Linked DNA regions of Canis lupus familiaris. The protein of the gene in region 2 interacts with the protein of the main gene of each other region in a pairwise test. Links are inferred from orthologs where the notes say so. Each region holds a gene or a part of one and is shown on either strand. Other genes may lie near its edges. The genes, in order: DYRK1B and TROAP.

Region 1 (4,244 bases), on a different chromosome or scaffold from region 2:
GGAGCCTGCTTCTCCCTCTGCCTGTGTCTCTGCCTCTCTCTCTCTCTCTCTCTGTGTGACTATCATAAATAAATAAAAATTAAAAAAAACAAAACAAAACAAAACACCATCAGGTCAATAAAGTGTCCCTAAGATGTGTTTGTTTTAAAAAAAAAAAAAAGATCTTCAGCCAGATTCACCATTTGTTAGCCTTTTGCTCCATTTGTTTCAGTATTCTCAGCATTGTTACTATTGTTAAAGAAGAGGAAGTAGAAAAAACAAACACAAAAACCTGGGTGTAAAATTTAAACACCAGCTTTAAGACAGTCTCTGTTGAAGCCTTCCTGTTCCAAATCCAAACCAAATTGAAAACTTCTCTAATGAAGTCTTTCCCTACATTTCCAAAACCTGAGTTTCACTGAGTTTCCAATAATTTAAAAAAAAATCTTTTTTTTTTTTTTTTTTTAAAGAGCAACAAAAAGGAAAACAGTCCAGTGCTTTGCTTATAAAATTCAAATTCTTCTGCAGGCCAACTGCATTGACTCCACAGCCTCTGCTGAGGCTGTGTTTGCCTCTGAGGTGAAGAAGATGCAGCAGGAGAACATGAAGCCCCAAGAGCAATTGACCTTAGAGCCCTACGAAAGAGACCACGCTGTAGTGGTGGGTGTGTACAGGTGAGCAGGGGCCGGCAGCCCACCTGGACAGAGCCCTGCCAGTCAGCACTTGGAAGGAGTGCCCCAAATGGTGACAAGCTCTGAATCTTCTATCTCCTTCCTCTCACAGGCCACCTCCCAAGGTGAAGAATTGAAGCCCGGCGCCATCTGGATTACCAGAGATTTGTGTTGCTACTGTTACACGTGTTTTTCTATTAAAAGACTCATCCAGGGGCACCTGGGTGGCTCTGTCACTTAAGCCTGGGCCTCTTGATCTCAGCTTAGGTTTTGACCTTAGGGTCGTGAATTCAACCCGGCCTTGGGCTCCTTGGGCGTGAAACCTATTTAGGAAAAAAAAAAAATTCATCATCGCTCCTGTATGCTGATCAGAGACCTCCGTTCAACGGTGCGCATGCGCCGTTTTTCAACTGGCGCGGTGGTGGGGGTGGACCAGCTCATCCGGTCCCTCGTGCGCATGCTTCTCCCTTGGCTGCTTTTTGCGCAGCCGTAACCCGGCTTCCGGCGCCTGGGCGGGGCTGATAGCTTACGGTGCATGTCTGCCGGTAGACCCTGCTGCGCGCAGGCGCAGAATGTTACCTTGGGTCACGTGGGGGAAGCGAATGGGGGGGGTGGGGGCGGAGCCCGGGGCGGGGGGGGCCGGTTTGTTGTGGTCGCCATTTTGCTGGTTGCATTACTGGGTAATCGGGCCCTGGCTCGCCGCGTCCGTCGGATACCTTCAGCCAGTGGGCAGGTCTGAGCTCGGGCTTCCCGAGCAGCTTGAGTCCCCTTGCCCGCGCCCTCAGGTAACAACGCGGCTACAGGTGGGGCGGCACGAGCTCGCGGGGAGGGGGCAGTACGGGCCCGCCCTGCCCGCGTCGCCGCGAGACTTAGCACGAGGCCGAGGGAGCAGAGCAGGGGGGCGGCGGGCAGGTGCAGGCCGTGCCTGGCTATTCATAGTCGGATTCTAGGAAGTGGCCGAGCCCGAGGGAGCAGCCTTGGGAGGGCGGCTGGGAGGGGGTAGCGGGGCCCGGCTCCCGCCCTTTGTTTGGGCTCGGCTCCTCCGGCTGCATCGTCGTCGCCTAGCAACAGCTGTTCTGAGCTGCGATTGGCTGAGCTCTTGGCAGCAGCGGCCAATGGCACGGTTGTTGCCATGGCAGGTGCGGACTGCCAAGCTCAGGCCGGCCCCGCCCGCCGGGCTCCGCCGACCGGGGCGGGCCTCCAGGGTGGGGGGCGGGACGCCTGGGTCCCCAGGGGCGGGTGGCTGCGCGGGGCGGGGCCGGCGGGGCGAGGGTTAACCCGCCCCTCCCCCGTCCACCTGCTTTCCCCTTCCCCCGCGTGCCCCGGGCTGACCCTCGTTCCCTCCTCTCCCCGCCCCCGGCGGCGGCGGCTGCTGTTGTCACCCACCCGGCCGCCTGTCCCGCTTGCCCTCCCCGCCGCGGGGCTTGCCGGGCCGGCCGGGCCGGGACAGGCGGCCGTCTCCTCTCTGCCGCCACCGCCGCCATGCTGGCCGCTCGCCCACCCCACTGGGGGCCCCACCGCGCCCCAGCCCCCCGTGGGCCCCGCGCCAGCCCTGACCCGGGTAGGGGGTGGGTGCTGGGAGAGACGGTCCTGCTGTGGGAGGGCCCCAGGGAAGAGGTTGTTTCGGGTGAGGGGCGGGGGAGCTCCGAGAGAGAGGAGGGATCGTGGAGTGGCAAGGCTTGGCATAGGAGAAAGGGATTGACATGGGAGAAGGCCTGTGGGGAGAGGATTTTGGTGTGGCAGGTACTCTGGGAGGGGAGAACTCTATGTGATATTCGGGGATTTTGGTTTCTGGGGGCCTTCTAGGAATGGCACAGGTGTGGATTGACCCTGGTGTAGAGAGGAGTAACTGGAGAAAGAGCCCTGGTAGGAATATTGGATGGGGGGAGGAGGGAAAGATACAGTGTAGGGGAGAGAAGGGCGAGGGAAGAGACGGCTCCTCCTTGCTCCCATCAGAAGAAGTGAGCCTTGATTGGGAGGGGGACCACGGACTAATATGGGGAAGAGCCCTTTTGTGGCACAAAGAAACTATCTGGTGGGGAGGGTCCCTGATGTGAGAGGAAATGGTATAAGGATAAGGTCTTGGCATGATATGGGGAGGGTCCCCTGGGAAGGGGGTGCCCTGATGGATGAGAATGCCATAGGGGTAGGAATTTTTTATATAGGGACAACTCTGTATAACAGGGTAACCTTGGTATGCTCTCCAGGACCCTGATGTGGTTTTAGGGGCCTGCAGAAGACTCTGCTATGGGTGTGGAGGGGGCCCAGAGTTCTCTTGTGGTTTGGGGGGAGGGGAATCCTAGACTTCTCTAGGATCTACTGGGAAGGGTAGATCTTGAAGTGAAAGGACCTTGCTGTGATAAGAGGTGATCCTGACAATCAGGGAAGACTGCAGGAGGGCAGGATCTGGTGTGAGGGGGCCCTGGGGAGGGCCATAAATAGAAATGGGAAGCAAACCTATACTGTCTGTGGTTTCTATCTTTCTTCTCTTTCTCACCCCAATTATTGGTGTCTTTTTGTCCTTTCTTGTCATGGCCTTTATCCCTGCCTGGCTTCCAATCATTCCCTTTCACATGTTCCCCTCTTTGTGCCACCTACTTCATTTATTTGGTAATCATTTGTTGAGGGACTCTGCTGTGCCCCCACCCCCACCCCACCATTTTTCACTGTCCCCTTTCTTCATTGCCACCTGTTGTCCTTTTTCTCCTCTCCCTATGCCCTACCTTCTCTCTGGTGTCCACCTCTTTCCCACCTGTCCCTGTCCCACACATCTTCTTGTTCCATGTTGTTCCCCTGCCTCCCGCCTGCTCTCAGGTCTCAGCGGCGGTGGCAGCCGAGGTGCAGGATGCGAGAAGGCGCCCCCCGGCCGGGCTCCCGCTCCAGGCCTCGCTCCCCTGCGGCCCTCTGAGCCCACCATGGCCGTCCCACCGGGCCATGGTCCCTTCTCTGGCTTCCCGGGGCCCCAGGAGCACACGCAGGTATGCGTTCAGCTGGCTCCTCACATGCCTGGGGTAGGGGGAGGCTGGGGATAGAAGGGTCTTGGGGCCAAAAGATTATTTGGTTGCCCAGAGCAGTCTCCTGGGGCCATGAAAAGCCCATCTGGAGTGGAAGATAATAGAGAAGTTGGTGGCAGAGACTGTTTGGATAGCCTGGGTTCAAATCCTGACACAGGGTTAAATTACTTAGGTTCTACCTGCTTCAGTTTTCTTTCTCTTAAAATGAAGCCAAGAATGATAACTACCTCGCAGGATAGTTGTGAGGTTAAGCAAGTTAATGAAATGCATGTAAAATGCTGAGAATAGTGCCTGGCACCTAGGAAACACCCAGTAAATGTTCACTAAGGAAAAAAGGTCCAGAGTGAAAGATGGGCAGTTGGGGTGCAAGGGGGAGAAGTCTGAGTCCAAAGGATCCTGGAGCCAGCAGCATCTTACACTACAGAGTAAAGATATTCAGGGGTGGAGACTGTCAGGGCTCTGAAATGTAGAGCTTGAAGCAGGATGGAGTAGGAGGTGCCAAGGTGCTGGCTCCCAAAAGACTGGGGCAAAATGTGCAGAGTTGGGGGTGAAGGATAGGAAGATACCACAGGATAAGGGT
Region 2 (4,513 bases):
TAGGAGGAGACAGGAAGTTTGCTGTAGTGCTAGAACACATACCACTGTCTGGCACAGGGTTTTGCAACCTCCAGAGAGGGTATGCCAGTTTGACAGCCCCCACTGTACCATCGAGGTGGGGACCCATCCAGCATCCCCTTGGAGCCCAGCACTATCTCAGTAATCACTTATTAATCAGAACGCCCCAAGTGGGCTAAGGGGGTGATGATGGTCCTTAGGGCTGAGGACAGAACAGTGAGTGGAAGGTAAATCTTATAGAAAGTGGCAGAGAAAGGGTTGAAGTGGGGACCACCTCCTTTGACACAAGTACAACAGGGCAACCTCTAGCCTATCAGGATCCCTTCCTTTGTGGCTCCTTCCGACATGGCCTTCCCCTCATGCAGCCTTCCCCAACTGCTGAGCTTTCTCCTGTCTTGCTCCCAACTTTAGGCAGCCCACCTACTCCTGTCTTCTTCCCATGGCTGGACACACTCACCAGGCTGGACTGGGGTCTCCAGGAGCAATCCTGAGGTCTGGCTCACCGAAGTCCTGATGACAATAAGGACAGCAACTAGCAGTCACTGAGTACCAAGTATGAGCTGGGCACTTTGCTAAGTGCTTTACAAACATCATCTCATGTAAGTCTTTGTGCAACAATCTCTAACAATACAAGAATTATCCTCATTTGACAGATGAAAGAACCTGAAACCTGGAGGTTAAGGCAAGCTTACACTAGTAAGTGCTGAGAATTAGGAGTCAAACCCAAATCCCATTCATTGCCATCATCTATGCTCTAGCCACTAAACAAAAGAGATAGTATTTCTCATTTCTGTTTCTTCTTCCCCCACAACCTGAAAAAACTGATGTCATACTGAAGGTTGGCCGTAGAGGCCTGAACCCTATTCCAAGGGTTCAGCCTGGGCACCCACATATTTCCCCCTTCCCCTCCTGGGTTGCTAGGAAGTCCTAAAGCTACTGGAAAGAACCCTGAATCAGACACTGGATCATTCTCTTCCAAATGATCCTTTCCCCCCTCACCGGCTGCTGCCACCTGTCACTCTTCTCAGCTCCTGGAAACTGGGGTGAGTAGAGGGGTGAAAGGAAGGTCCTGAAGGTGGAATCTGACCCACGGGAGCAAGAGGAAAAAAGCAGAGTCAGAGGTGGGCTCTGAAGCTTCAGACCTCACCATCAGCCCCATCAGCCTCCACAACCCCTCTGGCTCGTCAGGAGGTATCTTCCCTCCTAAGGCCCAGTTTTGTCCCAGGGAGGAGCTCCCAGAAGCATTGAGCATCATCAGCTCCTCAAGGGCACTCACCAGAGCCTCTAGCCTCTGAGAACACAAGGTGCGGCTGCGAGGTCCTGGTCCTTCCAGCCTCGAGAAGCAGGAAGCCCTGGTAGGGTCCAGTCGGTGGGCAGGGGTTCTAGGGGCTAAATATGCAGAAGCCCGGGCACCCTGACACCACAAAAAGAGGCTATTAGCCCAAGCTCAGGACTCCCTCCTTGGCCCACACCAGCCACTGTTCTGTCCTCAGCCCTAAGGACCTCTATCCCTCCTCATAGTCTATTTTATTACCTGGCCCCTACGGGTGGTGCCTCCTTGGCTCCCTCGAACCAGTATTCTCTGAGCCAGACTGGGCTGGCGCCCCAGGAGACAGCTCTTAACCCCCTCACCTGACAGGATGGTGGCCAGGGCTGCAGGGTCGGCCACAAACTCTACAGTCCCTGGAGCCTCTGCAAGAGAAGAGAAGGAAAGGTGAAAAGGAACAGGAAGGAGGAAGGCTGAAGAGTCAGCAGTCACCTTGTGGTGCAAGAGTGAGCTGAAGAGACTCATATTATTGAACTCAGTTCACCGAAGTTCATGGAACTTTATGTAAGACACGATCCTAGGCACTGGGGCTCAAAGAGGAATGAGAAACCCCCCAGCCTCGGGAAGTTACCATCAAACTAGAGTGAGGTGACAGGCTCAAGCCAAGGCATGGATGTGTTATGAAAGAAGTACTGCCAAGTATTAGAACACAGAGGAATTGATTGTGACTAAGGGGGCTGGAAAGGCTCTAGAAGAGATGACATTTTGCTAAAGGAAAGAGAGGGCTTCCAGGAGTAGAGAGTTTACCAGGAGCAGGGTGCAGGATTCAGAGCAGGCAGGAGACCAGGTTAGTGGAAAGCTCCCAAATCCCACTGGATGCATCATCCCCTTCCCCCACACCCACACAAAGAGACTGTGTTTTCAAGCCTCCAAAGGGTACCTGTCTGGGGAGGAGGCTTAGGCCCCACATTCTGTACCCCAGGGCTAGGCCTCAGTTCCTCCAAGGGGTTCCGGAGCTGAGTGCTCCCCAGTGATCTCTCTGATTTCTCTGTTTGATGTGTGACTTTCGGCCTGGGGCCTGCTGAGTCGACAGGGCATTGAATACTGAACTTCTGCACCAATCTCTGGGGGAGGGGAGGACAAAAGGCTGGGGCTCAGCTTTGGGGCGCATTGGTGGCATGAGCTGTCTCCTTGCAGCTACTGTCTTCACCCACAGACCCCCTCTTACCTTTGGATCTTGGTTCTCCTGGTCCAGGACACAGGATTTGACTGTGGGGAGAGGCGGGCGTCTCTGAGAGCGTACGGGAATCTTGCTAGGGGTGGGAGATACGCCCCTGGGGAGCGGATCCTTCGTGGCTTGGAGGGTGGGCATGACTGCTACAGCTGAGGTGGGGAGGGAAACAGGACCTCAGGTCAAAGGTCAGCCAGTTTGAAGCATCAGTTCCGACCTTCCTGAAGCTCCCACCTCCGCCCAAACCCATGCGCCCAGAAGACCCGATGCTTCCAAGGCCGCTGCAGGAAGCCCCTCCCTCCAGATACCCCGACTCTACTCTTCGGCTCCAGGACCCCGAGCTGCCTCTCCTCCCTATGAGCCCCGCGGCCCCCATTCCCTCTACGATCTCCATGCCGCACCTTCCTCGGAGCCACCGCGGCTCACCCCGATTTCATTCGCTCTTTCTTGACTGGCTTCAGCAGCAGCTACTTCCCCAGTTTGTAAAATACGCCAAGCCCCTGATTGGCTCTTCTGCGCTCCCCGGAGGCGCGTGACACCTGGCTGAGCTGTCCAATCCACGGGCTCCGGAGGCGGGGCCAGAAGAAGGACTGGTGGTCGAGCCGCTCTCCGGCCAGGAAAAAACTGACCCGACTCAGCCAGCCAATCGGAGAGCGGAGCGCGGGGAGGGGGGCGGGAAAAGAGAAAGAGGGCGGGCATTCTGAGGTTGGGAAGGCGTGGCCCTCCAAGTCCCGGCCACAACGGGCGCTGCCGACTCTCGCGAGGTCTCGGGACTGCTCCGAGCAGGAGCGGTCCAGGCTGTGCGGGATGGGCGGGCGGTGCGGGAGAGGCCGAGGGCGCCGGCGGCGGGCGCGACCCCACACCCGACTGACCCGAGCGCGGCGCGAGCTCAGGGGACGCAGCTGCAGACGCGTAGAAGAAACGTCTTTTCCACTTGGTGCCTGGGAGGAGGAAGCGCCTCCAAACGGATGGAGAGGGCTGGAGGCAATAGAACTGAGCCCAACGATGATGAACCATCTTTGGGGCACTTGGGGGGCTCAACCGCTTAAGCCTCCGACTCTTGACTTTGGCTCAGGTCACGATCTCCGGGTGGCGAGATCCAGCCCCACGTGGGGCTCTGCACCCAGGGGAGACTCCCCTTGAGATTCTTTTCTCTCTCTCCCACTCTCTGCTTCCCCCCAACCCGATTCTCTCTCTCTCTCTCTCTCTCTCTCTCTCTCAAGTAAATAAATAAATCTTTAAAAATAATAATAATAGGGGAGACCCGGTGGCTCAGCGGTTTAGCGCCGCCTTCGGCCCAGGGCCTGATCCTGGAGACCTGGGATCGAGTCCCCGCCTCGGGCTCCCTGCATGGACCTGCTTCTCCCTCTTCCTGTGTCTCTGCCTCTCTCTCTGTGTGTCTCTCATGAATAAATAAATAAAATCTTTAAAAATAATAATAAATAGGGACGGCTGGGTGGCCCAGTCCTTGATCATCGACCTTTGACTCAGGTCGTGATCCCAGGGTTCCCAGGATCGAGTCCCACATCGGGCTCCCTGCCTGCAGGGAGCCTGCCTCTCCCTCTGCCTGTGTCTCTGCTTTTCTCTGTGTCTCTCATGAATAAATAAGCAAAATTTTAAATAAATAACCCAACCATCTCACAGGAGCCTCACAGCCTGGTCAGGCGTGGTCTCCATTTCACAGACTCAGACAGCGTCACTGGAACTCATTCCACTCAACAGGCATGGAAGAGGGAAGACGGTGTCACTGTTACTGGCAGGCAGGGGTGTGAAACTGAGGGAACCTAGAATATCCCGGTTAGACTGGAGGGGTGACCTCCAATGGAACATGGGAAAGTGGTGATGGTTACAAGTGTACAGGACTCTGGTAGGACTGTCCCTGACTTCCGCGGGTTCTATTACTCAGGCCAAGAACCCGGAGGTATTCTGAACTCCTTGGTTCCCTTACATTCTCTCGTTCACTCTTACTACTTTTGTATCTGTAGGACTCATTTACT

The links.
Region 1: the proteins of TROAP (region 2) and DYRK1B interact in binary tests that used the Homo sapiens proteins (3 or more experiments, as listed by UniProt). The link is inferred for Canis lupus familiaris from reciprocal best matches to the Homo sapiens genes TROAP and DYRK1B.

The regions. Positions count from the first base shown.
Region 1 is NC_049222.1:114,429,260-114,433,503, forward strand, and holds the start of DYRK1B (dual specificity tyrosine-phosphorylation-regulated kinase 1B), read left to right. Parts: upstream 1-1,278; 5' UTR 1,279-1,435; intron 1,436-2,482; exon of another isoform or gene 2,483-2,516; intron 2,517-3,464; 5' UTR 3,465-3,565; coding exon 3,566-3,628; intron 3,629-4,244. Other genes in the region: FBL (rRNA 2'-O-methyltransferase fibrillarin), read left to right, coding at 508-653, 763-787.
Region 2 is NC_049248.1:41,359,305-41,363,817, reverse strand, and holds the start of TROAP (tastin), read right to left. Parts: upstream 3,071-4,513; 5' UTR 2,918-3,070; intron 2,669-2,917; 5' UTR 2,658-2,668; coding exon 2,514-2,657; intron 2,410-2,513; coding exon 2,226-2,409; intron 1,711-2,225; coding exon 1,553-1,710; intron 1,433-1,552; coding exon 1,295-1,432; intron 1,101-1,294; coding exon 1,018-1,100; intron 529-1,017; coding exon 476-528; intron 1-475. UniProt on the Homo sapiens protein: Could be involved with bystin and trophinin in a cell adhesion molecule complex that mediates an initial attachment of the blastocyst to uterine epithelial cells at the time of the embryo implantation.